Linked DNA regions of Drosophila melanogaster. The protein of the gene in region 2 interacts with the protein of the main gene of each other region in a pairwise test. Each region holds a gene or a part of one and is shown on either strand. Other genes may lie near its edges.

What was found. The genes of interacting proteins can lie anywhere in the genome.
Region 1: the proteins of Nf-YC (region 2) and Clamp interact in a two-hybrid assay, tested with the Drosophila melanogaster proteins (one large-scale study listed by BioGRID).
Region 3: the proteins of Nf-YC (region 2) and Nf-YA interact in a two-hybrid assay, tested with the Drosophila melanogaster proteins (one large-scale study listed by BioGRID).

The regions. Positions count from the first base shown.
Region 1 is NT_033779.5:22,165,220-22,170,949, reverse strand, and holds Clamp (Chromatin-linked adaptor for MSL proteins), read left to right. Parts: upstream 1-1,806; 5' UTR 1,807-2,062; intron 2,063-2,306; 5' UTR 2,307-2,414; coding exon 2,415-2,570; intron 2,571-2,629; coding exon 2,630-2,830; intron 2,831-2,883; coding exon 2,884-3,313; intron 3,314-3,373; coding exon 3,374-3,647; intron 3,648-3,696; coding exon 3,697-3,900; intron 3,901-3,962; coding exon 3,963-4,398; 3' UTR 4,399-5,230; downstream 5,231-5,730. UniProt on the Drosophila melanogaster protein: Transcription factor involved in X-chromosome dosage compensation in males, the process by which transcription of the single X chromosome in the male is elevated. Binds to the DNA sequence (GA)n.
Region 2 is NC_004354.4:6,817,642-6,822,818, reverse strand, and holds Nf-YC (nuclear factor Y-box C), read left to right. Parts: upstream 1-1,899; 5' UTR 1,900-2,092; coding exon 2,093-2,136; intron 2,137-2,294; coding exon 2,295-3,663; intron 3,664-3,725; coding exon 3,726-4,118; 3' UTR 4,119-4,641; downstream 4,642-5,177. Other genes in the region: xit (xiantuan), read right to left, coding at 6-447, 515-625, 689-1,603, 1,659-1,726; iav (inactive), read right to left, coding at 4,663-4,813, 4,874-5,094, 5,150-5,177.
Region 3 is NT_037436.4:9,439,556-9,444,144, reverse strand, and holds Nf-YA (nuclear factor Y-box A), read left to right. Parts: upstream 1-1,877; 5' UTR 1,878-1,982; coding exon of another isoform or gene 1,983-2,021; intron 2,022-2,178; 5' UTR 2,179-2,252; coding exon 2,253-3,452; 3' UTR 3,453-4,089; downstream 4,090-4,589. Other genes in the region: Srg3 (Sting-regulated gene 3), read right to left, coding at 781-814; Bet3 (blocked early in transport 3), read left to right, coding at 1,983-2,021, 4,585-4,589.

The sequences.
Region 1 (5,730 bases), on a different chromosome or scaffold from region 2:
GCGGGAAAGATATATATCTTAATGTAAACACATAATTAATTTCTAATTTCTTTTACATCACAAGCAGCTAAACAGATATACATATATTTCATTTAAGTTCTATTACCACCAAATTATTTTTAAATAAGAGAGAACGCTTAAGCAAATTTGTTGGACATTGAGATACCGTTTACACAGCCAGAAGGAATGCAAAATATAAACAATGAAAACAAAAAGTTTTGGGTGTTGAATTGGTCGTGGCGAAATAGTTCAAGCATATCAATACAAATTATCAAGAAAAACAACTTAATTTTTTAAGATAAAGAACTTTTCAAAAGTATACGAACAGAAGGATTGGTAGCCGAAGACAAGAATATAAGCACGTTATAATGCCCGAAACGCTTCCTTCCGTTCCTTCTGACATAATTTTTTCCAAAACCATACACATAATCGTTCGAAATCACTACCATAAAACTTGTCTTTTCATTCCTCAAAAATAGCTAATAAATAAGCTTACTATCTCAAGACATTCCCTTAAATGCTGTTGTCATAAAAAACATTTGACCACGTTGGTTGCCTTGCCAACACTAATAAATTTTTGAATTTGGGCGCCGAGAGTATTTAAATCTTTTGGAAGCTGAAATTTTCCAACACCAAACAGGACTCGCAGAACTTTGTTCATCCAGGATCTTAAGCTCAAAACCAAAACGTATGCGAATTAAAATTGCTGCTATTTAATTATTTAAAAGAATAGTTTTTATTTTTTATTAATTAATATTTATTCGGCGACAGACTTCCTCACTTATACTATTACAAGACACTTTATTACTAGCTTATCTTTGATTTGAAGCTGTTCACGATCTCGTCCCGACTCAGACTGATCTTCTAAATCTTAATCCTAATCCACTCAACCTCGGCCAGAAGCTTTTCTTTAGGATTCTCTTAAGCTTTTTAATATGTTTAGGATAAAAGCTTTACACTGAAATTATTTCCCAGCATTGTGAAATTCAAATTTGCTGACTGACGCAGTTTGACTGAAGCGCAATAAGTTGACCATGGCTTGGTCTCCAAGTGGAAGTTGTGTTTACTTTAAGTTTGGTTATATATCGGGTGGCTAAGTGTTGGCGTCAAAAACAAGGGCAAAGGCAACGCTGCTGAGATTGGAGTTAGAAATTTGTTTAGCTTTTGGTAGAGTGCTATATTTATGGGTTGGATAACTTGCGTCACTACGTGGGGCATAAAAAATCTGTTGTCCCTTAACTCACTCCCCTACATCGAGTGATAAAGATAAATAGGAATTCCTAAAAGATTTAAGTATACAAAAATAAGTACGTTTTATATGGAATCTTTAAGAATTAGTTAAAAGTCGAGTGCCTGTAAAATTTCGTTATCTTATGGAATTTGTTATCAACCATGGCCCATGATCTTACCAAAGACACTAGAATATTCTAGTGTCTTTGCTCTTACAGTGTTACCTTAGCTTGTAGAATATTAAAAGTTAAGTCTCAATAAATTTAAAACGTGTTTTTAACGCAGCTCAGCACAAGATATTTCTTTTCGAAAGCTAGTAACAGCCAGATTCTACTGATCGTAGCGTTTGCCTTTTGAGTAAGAGACAACATGTAAGACAACATGTGATGTAATCCAAATTACGAAGTACAAAACGTATATAAAAATATTTATGTTTTCTGAGTTATCGAATTAGTGTAAAAGGGCTCTAAGAAATCCTACCAGTTCTTTGTGAATTTTGGTATATTTTCGAGGGAAATGATTATTTTCATGAGTCGTGAAACGGTCACACTTTTAAAAAGTAAAACTGCTGCTCGTCTGCTCTATCTCTGAGCGTTGTTCTGTCTCCATCTCTCTTTAGCAATCGTAAAAAATGATGGACTGAAAGTTAAAGTGCTGGAATTTGTTAGAAAAAGATAACACTATTTAAATATATATCTTGTATTATTCCAAACAATATATCGTTAAAATACGTTATCAATTCACGAATACAATTTTACACCACTCAAATCTTAACAATTTTATTGTGGAGCAGGCAGTGCGCAATTTATGGTGTGGTCCGGTTGCGTAAAAGGTAATTTTAATAATGAAAAAAATAACACATGTAGTGTAATATTGTATGATAAAAAAACAAATGTGCTAGACTCCAGTTTAGATACTAGAGTCTGTTAATGTAAAGAGCTGCTGCATTAAACGTTCGTCTGTGTATGTTTTGTGTCGCGTATGTACATATTTTTTGTCTCACCGTCGCCATTTTTAATCAGTCGTTTTCGCTGGGTTCCTATGGCACTATATTCATCTCTTTTTCTCTTTTATAGAATTAGCGTCGCGTGATGCAGTGTTGAAAAGCGCGACAGAGCTGCAGTAAATAAAAGGCCAACGTATGATAAAAGTTAATTTTTGAGCATACTCGAATTTTGGGGACCATGGAAGACCTTACCAAAAACATTATCTTCACAAATGCCATTAATGGGCAACCGGCCACAATTCAATACCAGACGGCGGATGGCACCATTCTTAAACAGCCCAAAATAGAGGGCCAAAAAACGGAGCAGCAGCCTACCTTCTATTACACGACAAATGTAAGTAGTTTACTTACTATATGTTATTGGTGCTGACTTTTCATATTGTCTTCACATAGGGCAATGGCGGTACCGTCAATCTCGCACAGCTGGCCACCACAGACGACAATAAGACGTGTTATATAGCCCAGCCCGTGGGCGGATACAATTACGCCCTGGTCAACGGAATGCCTCTCAATCAGGGTGCAGCTCTTGGCATCGCCACGGTAGACGCACAAGGCCGCATCCAGATTGTCAATCAAAATAAGCCAATTGCAGCTGTATGTAAAAGGAAGACTCGTTAAGCAAAGCCTAAAGATTTTCTTCTTTGCAGAACACCATATCCAACATAAGCTTTAAGTGTGACGTATGTTCAGATATGTTCCCTCATTTGGCACTTCTTAATGCTCATAAGCGGATGCATACAGACGGGGAACAGCAGCAACAACAGCAACATAACGCCCAAGCGGGCGGCGATTCTATTGCCGTGGTCAGCGCGCAGGGGCTTGTGCAGGCACAGAACATTATTGGAAATGGTCAGATGGGCCAGATACAGATTGTGTCTTCTGACACGCTGGAGCCGGTTCAGCAATCTGTAATGCAGCAGCAGCAACATGAGTCAAAGGCAAGCAAGTGCATAAATTGTGGAAGCTCTATGCTGCAGCAGTCCAAACGCAAAGGTCCAAAGCAGGTGCGCTGCGAGTCCTGCATGCAGGCTGAACAAACAGCGCAACAACAACAGCAGCTCTTCGTCGCCCAAGACGGTAGTTGTGAAAGATTACATTCTAAATGGACCATAACTAACTTCATCGCATCTTTTGCAGGTCAAATGGCGCATCCCGTGCAAATCATATCAACGACTCCTCAGGCCCAAGCACAACTTCAGCAAATTGTGGCTGCACAGACTGGCGGTACAACGCCAAAGCGAGAGGCGAGCAGTGGGTCTGGCCATCATCCTGTGAAAAAACGAAATTCCCAGCAGATGACCAAATGCCAGAAATGCAATGGCTCCGGCGTGGTGCTAGTGGGGCAGCACTCCCATGCTTCACACAGCGGGGTGGGCGGATCGGTAAAGCAATCAGTTACTGTTAAAACTGAGTGAGTATAACATGAAATTGCAACCTTATCCTACGCTAACAAAACCAAGGTGTTTGTCCTGCAGAAATCCGTCCAAACCCTTCAGTTGTAATATATGTGGTGGTCTGTTTTCACGTTACTCAAGTCTGTGGTCCCATAAAAAGCTGCACAGCGGTGAAAAAAACTACAAGTGCAGCATCTGTGGATTGGCCTTTGCTAAAGCCGTATATTTGAAAAACCACGCGCGCATTCATACAGGCGAGAAACCCTATAAGTAATACCAATCTTCTACTTGAAATTATACTCTTTATACTAATTACCGTTATCTTTACATAGATGCCAAACCTGCGGCATGCAGTTTTCACAGTCACCACACCTCAAGAACCATGAACGCACGCACAGTGGCGAGCGGCCCTATGTGTGCGGTGTTTGCGACAAAGGATTTGCGCGCCACGCTACTCTTTGGAATCATAGGCGCATTCACACGGGCGAAAAGCCATACAAGTGTGAAATTTGTGGATCGGCCTTTTCTCAGGCGGCGCACCTTAAGAACCACGCAAAGGTGCACTCCGGAGAAAAACCCTACAAGTGCGAGATTTGCTCTGCAGCATTCGCTGATCGTTTTGCACTCAAGCGTCACCGCGGCATACACCAAAAGTACGGCCAAACTGCTCCTCGCCAGACCAGCAGCGATGGGATGATAGTGCATAAGCAGGAGATTCCTGACATGGAGGATGAGGCCCAACAGGAAGTGATTATCGGTGGGTTATAGATAGTTTAAATGCAGAGGTGACAGGCAGCTTAATGAAGTCACAGACACTGGAGTCCACCCTGCTTAGCTTCAGTTTATCGAGCGTTACTATGATCATCTGCCTCCACCTATGCTAGCCCCAGAACCATCTCTAAGGGCGCATATATCACCACAATGATATTAAAGAATAGAAAACGATGTTCCATCGTTAACACTTCAGCTGCATATGTCCTTTCTCCACTTTCATGTGGGATCTTCAAAAATGGGCGAAACCCAAAAACGCTTTTTACGATAAGCATACAAATGAACCTAATTTATTTGATAGCTTGTATAATATACTTAAACATCTTTAAACATTAAACGCATATATGTATAGGCATCGTATTTATAAGTGTTATAGGCTATTCTCTTATACAAATTGTAGGTGTAAAATATGGATTTATTAGGTGACGATACGAGCAAATCCGATACGTATGAATATGCACAGGTAATAAACACACACATATAAGTTGAAAGTTGTAAGCTTAAATATATTTTAATTAAATCTATCTAATATAAGTATGTATTAAATAATGCATAAAATCAAATAAATATTTGAATAAAATACAATTTTTTACTAACCTACTCCATTTGCAAGTGCCTTAACGAAGAATAGAGGGATCCCAGAAATAGGCACATTTTCCACCGTTTTCGACGTCTTATGCGTTTTTTTTTTATTAATGTAAGCACCATTTCACTTTAAATATAATTTTTTTAGTGTTTTGCCACGTTCATCTTATTCTTACGTGAAGCTATAAGGTCAGTAAATTTTAATGTTGGCAATAATATAATTAATAAATACACAAAACTTTAAATATTCATAGACGTAAAAGAGTAAAATAAAGTTAAAATTTATCGAAAATTAGATGATGTGAATTACTGCTGTCTTTTCAAAAAAATTAGAGCTGTTGATTTGTAAAATGGACGCACTCTTTTAAACTTCTTATATTTATATTTTTGCGTATTATCTGTTAAAAATAAAATATTTTTACATATTTAAAGTAAAGTTGTGAAGTGGCAACGAATTTTTTACAATAATCAAAACCAAGTGTTTAAGAATTAGGATTCATGGCTTGTATAATAAAGCTTTAAATTACTAGAATTCGCCATCAGTTAAATCAAGATAAATACGTATACGTATACATTTGCGAACATGGACTTTGCTTAGGGTCCATTTTTGAATTTGCGGTCATTACAAACTTATATTCATATGTATATAGGATTATTCAAGAATGAATACATTTTAGTTACACGGGATTGTAGTTTTGTTTCTTTTAATGTCAACTGGTTTGCATGCACTATGCAATCATGATT
Region 2 (5,177 bases):
TCCGTTTATTTGGTTTTTCGTTTTCTCTTAACAGCGGCCGCGGATGTGGACGATGCGATGGGCACCTTGCCCCAGCTAATGCCCAGAGCGTACAGATAGTAGGCCCCAAAGAAGTAGAGCACTCCCAACGCCGAGTACACGGAGGTCAGCAGTAGGGGCAAGAAGGGCAGGCGCTGGTCCAGGTGCAGCAGGAAAGAGAGCAGATGCTCGTACAGCGGAATAGCCATGAAGCCCAGCATGTATAGCCACTCCAGCGTGTGGAAGCCTCGGAAGCCGGGGAAGATGCGATACAGCTGGCCGTACATCATGGCCACGTACGACATGTACAGGGAATACCGGGGAATGTACAGATCCGCATCGAAGAGCAGCGGAAAGAGAGAGAAATAGCCGGCAATGCCAAGGACATAGGCGTATCTGGCATCCTCCCGGTTTACCAGCGTGAGCAGACTGAAAAAGGGTGGGCCTGTTAGTAGGATTCCTTCATTTCGAATTAACTGAGGGGAAGGGAACTCACCAGAGCGGAAGGAGCACCATTAAGATGGCCTTCTCGTGCACATGCCAGCCGAAGACGAAGGAGGAACAGCCGCACAAAACCACCGCTCGCAGGAAGACCAGCGGACTTTGTCTGCAAAGAGATGGCGGATAAGTTTGCTGCGATATCTTGGAATCCAAACGAGGATTTCCTCACTTCTTGGCACTGCGAAAGAGCTTCACCAAAATGGGCAGCATGAAGAGAGCGGTCAGGGCAAAAGTCACAGGCGGTGTGATGGCTGGCAGCACCGAGTGCCTGACCTCCTGGACCAATCCTGACGTCGTCGAGGCACCGCCATCCTGTACCTTCAAAACTCCGGCGGCCAACTTGTCGGCGGCATTGTACAGCGCCCAGAAGTTGGGTGCCCAGTAGGCGTGCGTTAGGCCACGCTTGAAAGGAAACAGACGGGAGAGGACTTGCGGCAATTGCTGCCAGAAGGGTCCGAAAGACACGGCGAACGGAGTAAGTCCAACGACCAGCAGCTTGACAACGGCACCCACCGCAGACACCACACTCGCTTGCTCCAGGCAATAGAAACGCAGCAGGTAGACCCCAAAAGCGGGCGCCATGTACAGAAAGATGTGCTTAAAGTTGAGCAGCACGGCGAAGGCAAAGGCGCTCCAGAGGAACCGCTGCCGGATGAGGGAACCGATGCTCAGGAGCAGTATGCCGAACAGCAAGCCATTGTACTGAAAGTGAATGTGGTCCACGAAGATCAATCCCACGTTGAGGAGCAGCAACATGGAGGCGGCAAAGAACTGCTGCGTATCCCTGCCCAATCCCAGTGAGCCCAGGCAGCTGCGCACGCCGAGCACATACACTAGATCCGTAACAATCACCGAGAGCCGCTGAAAGTAAACGGTGGCCTTGGACTCGTAATTCAGGTTATCCACCACCAGCATTCGTGGATCCACGTACTTGGCCACCTGCGAGAGCAGCCACTCGAAGTAGGCGAAGAACGGCGGATAGTCCAGTGTCCACTCGCTGGTGGCGTCCACATACCACTGATTCAGCGGCAAACTGTGGGTGATGGCCAGCCAGTTGCGATGGACTTCGAAATCCGTGGAATGGCTAAGGATGAAGTTGATTTAGTGGGCTTGATAAGTGGACAGAGCACTGCATTTACTAGGCTGGAATCAGCAGGATCTTTAGGCCGGTGGCTATGCCCACCAGGTGCCAGAAGAGGTCCTTCATCTTCGTTTCTCTCAGGGATTGGGATTGTAGTTTAGATTCGATGCATTCCTTATCAGCGGTAAGTGCTGTCCGATCTGGCTTGAAAGCGGGCAGAATGCGATTGTCGATTGTGCCGGCTAAATGTGGCTTGGAAGTAGCCAGTTAGCCCGACTAAAAGCTATCGTTATCGGGCTGTCCAGTTTTCGCCCTCACCGCCGCCTGGTCACACTGACGCTCGCGTGTATGCATGTGTGTGTGTGTGCATTACATTACGCATTTGCTTTGCGAATTAGAAGCTAATTAAAGCGAATATTGTGGACTCGAGCCGGTCGCCAGAGTCCCACGGTTGCCGCCAACGCCGAGCTAAGGTCTCCAGCCAACCGGGCCATGTACGCCACCAACAATGGCGGCACGAACAAGGCGCCAAACAGGTAAGTTCCGCCTCCGCCAGCAAAATCTAGCGCCCCTCCCCCAAAAAAACAGGCGGTACAGCCGAGATTTTTAGTGTGTGCGCCGATCCTTTTTGTTTTCATTCTGCGATTTGTGCATGCCAAATAATTTGAATGAAACTAATGTGAATGCCCTACAGCAATGCCACCTCCATGTTCGACAACACCATCACAGTGACGCCCATAAAGATGGAACTGGGCCAGGCGTATGCCAAATCGCAAAATTCAGCGGCTATGCAGCGAAGAACACCGAATGCAGTGGTGGTCACCTCCTCCTCCACCGTCTCCTCCGCCCAGCAGCAGCAGCAACAGCAGGGCCAGCAGCAACAGCAGACGGTTCCCATGGCCAGTTTGGTGTCCAACGCCTGTACGCTGGTTAATCCCAGCATGAGTGTGACGGTGGCCACCACCGTTGCGAGCGGCGCCAAGGAGAAGACCACGAAGGCCACACGAACTCAGGTGGCACGCAAACCGCCGCCCACCATCGACAACTTCTGGCCAAATATCGTGAGCGAGGTGCACAGCATCGGCCAGGTGGATGCCAAGCACCAGGTGCTGCCGCTGGCGCGCATCAAGAAAATCATGAAGCTGGACGAGAACGCCAAGATGATTGCCGGCGAGGCGCCGCTACTGTTTGCCAAAGCCTGCGAGTACTTCATTCAGGAGCTGACTATGCACGCTTGGGTGCACACCGAGGAGAGCCGGCGGCGTACGCTCCAGCGTTCGGACATTGCCCAGGCCATAGCCAACTACGACCAGTTCGACTTCCTCATCGACATTGTGCCGCGCGAAGAGATCAAACCGTCGTCGGCGCAAAAGACCAAGGATGGCAGTACATCCAGTTCGAGCGGAATGGCGGGCGCAGCCAGCAGTGCCGCCTCCACCTCCAACACAGCCACCTCCAATGCGGCCGCCTCCGTGGCGGGCAATGCTACCGCCACGGGCAACTTTGTAGCCAGTGGTTCCACCGTACCTGCGACCACCGCTGGTGGCCTCAAGCTGGACACCACGGGTGCAACCAATGCCGCCGAGGTGCTCGGCTTCAGCACTGTCAACTCGGACATCTTCTCAGCGCAACTGCAGCAGCAACAACAACAGCAGCAACAGCACGCCGCCCAGCAGCAGCAGCAACAACAGCAGCAGCAACATCACCAGGCACATCCACAGCAGGTTCAGATTATTCAGCAGGGCGCTGGTGGCCAACAGTTGCAATACTTTATCGCACTGCCGAGTCAGCAGGCGGCGCAGCTCGTGCAGCAGCCGCAGCCCGCGCAGAATCATCTACCCATCAACATTTTGTCAACCCAACAACCCACCCAGCAGTTGATACTGACCGCCGGTCCCAATGGTCAGCTGACCGCAACGCCAGCGCCGCAAACGACTGCCCAGCAACAGACGGCGCTGCTCCAGAATCTCGCCCAGCAGCAACAGCAGCACCAGCAACATCAGCAGCAGATTCAGCTGCTGCAGCAAGTGGTTACGCCCACGGGGGAGCTGACTAATGTGCCGGTAGGTATCACTTGAGGTAATTGTATTGAATCCCAGATTAAGACTTGCCTTTCCCATTGCAGATCGCCATCAATGCCAGTCATTTGAATCTCCTGCAGCGACTACAAATGCAACAGCAGCAGCAGCAGCAACAACAGCAGCAGCAACAGCAGCAGCAGCAACAACAGGTCATCATACCAACCCAACTGCTGACGACACAGCAACTGCTCCAGCTGGGCGGAGCACCCACAGTGGCCCATCAGCAGCAGCAGCAACAGCAGCAGCACGCCAATCTCACGCAGCAGAGCAACGCCAGTGCGGTGGCCAGTGGCACGCCGATCTTTATCAACTCGACCATGACTGGTGCCCAGGCGGCGGCGACGCAGGCGCAGCAGCAGCAGTCGGCGCAGCAGCAACAGGCACAAACGATCTCCACCATGTCCACGGATCGCACATTAACCGGCGGATTTCGGTAAAAGCTGGAAGTATGATATCCGTACCAACGGACGGACGGACAGACGGACAGTTGGCAATCATATCGAAAGCATCGGGAGGCATTGGAATCGGGCATTGGCAAGCGGGCATTGATTGCGCCATCCCCTGTCATCCAGCACAATGTATAATATTATAGTTTACGTAGGTGTATACGATTGTATATCGCGGGGGAGATTATATATAGCTAGTGTCTAAGTCGTAGGCATCTGTGTAGAAACGATTTCTCAATTGTAATTTATTGCTGACCCTCCCGCCCCCTGGCAGCAGGTTTCACCTTCTCCAAAAAAAAAAACCGCCACCTCCACCACTTTTAAACCTAGCACTTAGAGAGAATAATGGGAAATCGAGTGTATTAGTGTATGTATGTGACGGGTGACGGATGCCACCGGTCCAAAGCATAACCCAGCGTTTCGCGTGGCATCCGCGCTCTTTATTATGTATTTGTACTTCTAACTAAGCTAAGATCTGATAAACAATTATAAGCCACCAAGGACTATGTGCCAGAAACTCCTGCGCTAACTGTATTCACTTTCTGGCCAGGATCTTGTTGATGTCCTGCAGTTCGCGGGTGCTCCATGGTTCCAGCGGATCGGGCGGCGATTGCGTTCGCCGCGTGTAAGCGGAACGTCCCCGCTGGCTGCGCTCGTCCGGATCATCGCTTTGCTCCGGCGAAACTCTGGCGCCCAAGGAAAACGTGGGATTAAGATATGAAACGGACACTGGGATGGGAACTCACTTGTTTCGGCGACGAACACGAGCACTTTTGGCGCGACGAGCGGCCTCATCCTGTGCTGGCTGGCACTTGCGCAGGTGAAACTGCTTCATAGTGGCGTGCACCTCCTCCGCCGTGGGTATATCCTCGCTGTCCTGTCCACCATTGCCGTCCTCGGTCTCCACTTCGGCTTCCTGTTCGATGGTCAGCACCTCCTCCGCGACGGCTTCATCGAAGTGGAAGCCCTGCTAGTGGGTTTACATTTTGCACTCAGCTATTTCACTTTTTTTATCCACTCACCGTGTCCACATCCAGGCCAGGTGGTGCC
Region 3 (4,589 bases), on a different chromosome or scaffold from region 2:
AAACATAAAGAGTGCAATGTACGCACCTGGCGCCCTTATAACTGTGGTAAAGTGATCGATACGCCCCCTCAGAGTCCTGATCTGAACCCCATTGAAAATTTGTGGACCTACTTAAAGAAGAAGGTGGCAAAAAGGGACCTAAAACACAACAACAGCTTATGACTGTAATAGTCGAAGAGTGTGAAAAGATCCCGTTTGAATATGACCTGCAAAAACTTGTCCAATCCATGAAAAAAAGGCTTCAACTTGTAGCTAAAGCCAATGGGGAACATACTACATACCAAAACTTTTAAAATTTTAATAAAATAATTAAAAAATTTAGGTTTAAACTTCGATTTAGTGTTTTGTGTAAAGAGTTTCTTGACAGTCTCAAAAGTGTGTACACTTGGAATTTGTTGTTTATTTTCTTGTATATTTAATATTTTTAATTTGTTTTTTGATTTATAAGTAAAATAAATATTGTTTAATTATATTTTATAAAAAAATTGCGTTTAATTAAGCAAAAAACCCTTTATTTTTAGCTTTAAAGTCAAAAATTCAACTTATTTTACAGTGTGTAAACAGTTTCTTGACAAACTGTATGTATGTACACTTGCCACACTTTTTGGTGTTGTAATTATATCTTTCGGATCAGAAACCTCGCAATTTACGTGGCATTATAATTAAATATATTATTATTATTAAAATGTAACGAACATTATCCAAAATAAGATACAAATTGAAAAAAATACGGAGAACTAGAGTTCACTAAAATTATTAAAGGTTCCATAGGTTTCATACCTATGGCCCTAATATTGGAGGAAATATTTCCCATTGCGGTGGAGTTATTTATTATAGTTATTTTCACTGGTTATTTTATGTTATGGTATTTTCACTGGTGGAAGTACGGAGACTGAATGATATATGTTCTGCAGCCATGCAATATATATAAGTACAATTTATTAAATTTTTTAATCTAACATTGCTGTGGTGAGTATGGGGGTTGGGTCATAGCGTTTAGTATAAGTATTTTAAGTTAAGTACTTTTCTTGAGTGACATGGACTGGTAACATTAACATATGGCACAATATTTTAATTATTTTTACAAATAGCATTTAATTTTAAACTAGCATTAATTTCTTTTTATATTTTTGGATACCCCGTCAGAAGGACGAAAGCACCGGAAGGACAGAAGGACAGGAGTCATCGCCGGGGATAAATTGGAGTTTTGCAGCATTTAAATATAGCCGACTGTCCCACCCACTGTCCCTCCCACTGAAATCTTAATGTTGCAGATCTATTGCAGAAATCTTATTGTTAATAAAGCGGTTCATGACATGGATTGGTTGTGGTATTGGTACTAAAGAGGGCGGATCTTAAACTCCTCCCACTGTTATGTTATTATCTCAAAAACAGTGGAAAATTTTTAATGATTTTTTAATTTAATGAAATATTCCTGAAATGTCCTTAAGGTCTGAGGAGTTAAGGTTTGAGGAGGTCTAGCGTGCAAAATGTTGGGGAGCCGATTATTCTATCGCATTATTTTTTTACTTTCTTGAGCCCTATAAGTAGTACATAGATAGTTAGATCTGCCATTTTGAAACATTTTTGCATTTTTATTCTTGGGAATTTACTCCCAAATAACGTTAGCGCAAATTTATTAATTAATGTATTTATTAAATAAATTTATTATACTGATAACATATTAATATAGCAAAAAAAAATACGTTTTTGAATATATGTGCATTCTTTTTAAACTGCTGCACACATTTATTATTTTTTTGGACTCTTACAATACTTTTTCAAAAATTTTAAATATAACTGCGACTTTGAGCGATACTTTCACTTTTCCCGTGACGCCAACCGATATGCACAGCGCTTGCAGCCCTGGCCAATTTTGATGTGTTTCAGCATTGTACCCTGACAACCCTGCTCTGTAAAACTAGGAAAAACAGAAAATTTTATTTTCAATTGTTAAATATCCAAACGTAAACAGCCGGAAAATGTCACGACAAGCCTCTCGTTTGGACGCCAAGAAAGTGGTAAGTTGGCCAAAGAAGAGAGAACAGCGCAAGATCGGTATCGTTAGTCATTTGGAGGCATAGATCTAGTTGTAAGGTTAGATTTGTGCCATAGTGCCTAAGAACGAATCTTTGACGTGCCATCCACCCTCAAAATCGGCTTCATTCACTTTTCCAGTAAGTGTGTGTGTTGGGGGCTTGAGGTTGAGACACGGACACACAGACAGGCACAAGCCGACGTGCAATCAGGCAATGGAAAACCATTTCAGCGCCACCAGTCGCCCCTCAGCCACGCCCAGAATGTGCACCACCGCCTCTGCCGTCGGTGCTGCCGCCAGCGCCGCCGCCGCCGCCGGCAACAACAATAACAACAGCAATAGCAGCAGCAACAACAACGCAACAACCGGCAACAATTTAAGTGTTAGCACTGCAGCCGGAGGAGCCACAAATGCCGCAGCAACGGCACAACCCATCCAAGTGATACCAATGCCCATGCTGCCCACCGGAGCGGCGCAAATCATAATTGGCCAGCAGCCACAGGGTCAGGCGACGGCGACGGGTCTGCAGCCACAATTGATACCGCTGCAGGCCAACCAGATTATGCTGCAGGCTGCGCAGCAGCAGCCACAGATGCAGGTGATGCAGCTGCCCGATGGCCAGACTATATTCTATCAGACGCCCACCATTGCCGCCTTGGATCCGAATGCAGCGGCCAACGCCGCAGCTGCCATGGCAGCCCAGCCGACGCCGCACTACCTCAATATCAATGGGCAGCTGGTGCAGATCAATCCAGCACCGAGCGCTAATCAGGCGGCACCCACAGCTGGGCAACAGATTATAATGGTGCCGCAGACAGCGATGGCAGCGGTGAATGCAGCGGCCGCCAATGCCGGAGTAGGCGCCGGAGTGGGCACAGTGGTTACCCAACAACAACAGCAGCAGCATCAACAAGTACAATCCCAGACCCAAAACCAGCAGCAGCAGCAACAGCAGCAGACGGTGGCGGCGGTGGCTGCCAGTGCTGCAGTCAATAATATAAGCGCCGATGTCAGCACAAGTACAACTGGAACGAATACGAACAGCGAGGACGAGAGCTCCAAGGGCGAGGCGGACGAGGAGCCGCTCTATGTGAATGCCAAGCAGTACAAACGTATTCTCATTCGGCGGCAGGCCAGGGCCAAGCTAGAGTCGCGCATACCCAAGGAACGGTGCAAGTATCTGCACGAATCTCGTCATCGCCACGCCATGAATCGGGCTCGTGGCGAGGGTGGTCGCTTCCATTCGGCACAGGAGAAGGGCGACCAAGATTCGTCCGGCCCGGAAGGCGGCAGCATGCCAATGGCGTCCAGTGGCGGCGTCACCCTCAGCCGTGGCACGGCACGTGCTCCGCCCAAACTGATCGCGCCACATCAAACGCCCAGCATTACCATAACGGCGATCAAATCGGAATAGTCGCCTCCTAGCTGTAGGATACAAACTAGATAAGATTGTAGTCATAGCGTTTAGTCCTAAGCCAGTCGCTCTGTGTCCATTTGTCCTCAATCACACCACTTTAGTCGGCTCACATAGTTTTCATTTTTTTTTTTTTTCAAAATTAAGTCTTCATATATTATTTTCAAAGGGAATTTTTGGGTTTTTCTATTTATTTTCATTCACTTAGATTGGAAAAGTGATAAGTTCAAGAAAGAGATAATTGTTTTACTTATTATATTCATTTTCTAAATCGTTTCTAATTTCTAATATTTATTTTCTGTTAGCCAGCTGTTAAAAATTGTTTGTAATTATTAAATAGAGAATTTATTTCATTTACTAGACATTTTCAAAATTTACACAAGTAATGCAATTATTAATTTAGGGTTTATAGTTCATTTCAAAATGGAATGGGGAAAGGGCTGCCAATAGTCACCGCAAAACAACAGAGCTCAACAATATAAGATTCAACAAGGGTGAATGATATAGTCGCCTTCCCCGACTATCAGATACCCGTTACTCAGCTTTTGGAAATGCGAACTCGAAATTTCAAAAGTTCATAAATTTCAAACAAATTTTTTGGCAAATCGATAGAAGACTAATAAAATTATGAAAAAATATCCAAAAAATTTTCAAAAGTGTGGGAGTGGCAATTTTGTGCGGCTTGTGGGCGCTGCGTCGTGGTCTCTATCATTAACCTCAATATCAACCCTTTAGCGTTTATATTTCCTGAGATCTCTTTTAAACGGACAGACGGACATGGTTACATCGACTCGGCTACTGATTCCGATCAAAAATATATATACTTTATATGGTCGGAAACGCTTCCTTCTGCCTGTTACATACTTTTCAACGAATCTAGTATACTCTTTGAATCTACGAGTAACGGGTAAAGCACCATTGAGGACCATTTGCCGCATAATAAATGCAACACAGTTTATAAAATTAAAAAAAAAAAGCATATACATTTACTGCGGAACTCGTGAATGGCTACAGTTTTGTATATGGTACAGGCCTATAAAACGCTTTATTCTGGCTCTGGATTGATTTTTATTCGCTATCTGCTCTCTCCTCTCTTCCTCCTTTGTACAACAAACGAAAAATCAAAACACAGAACTC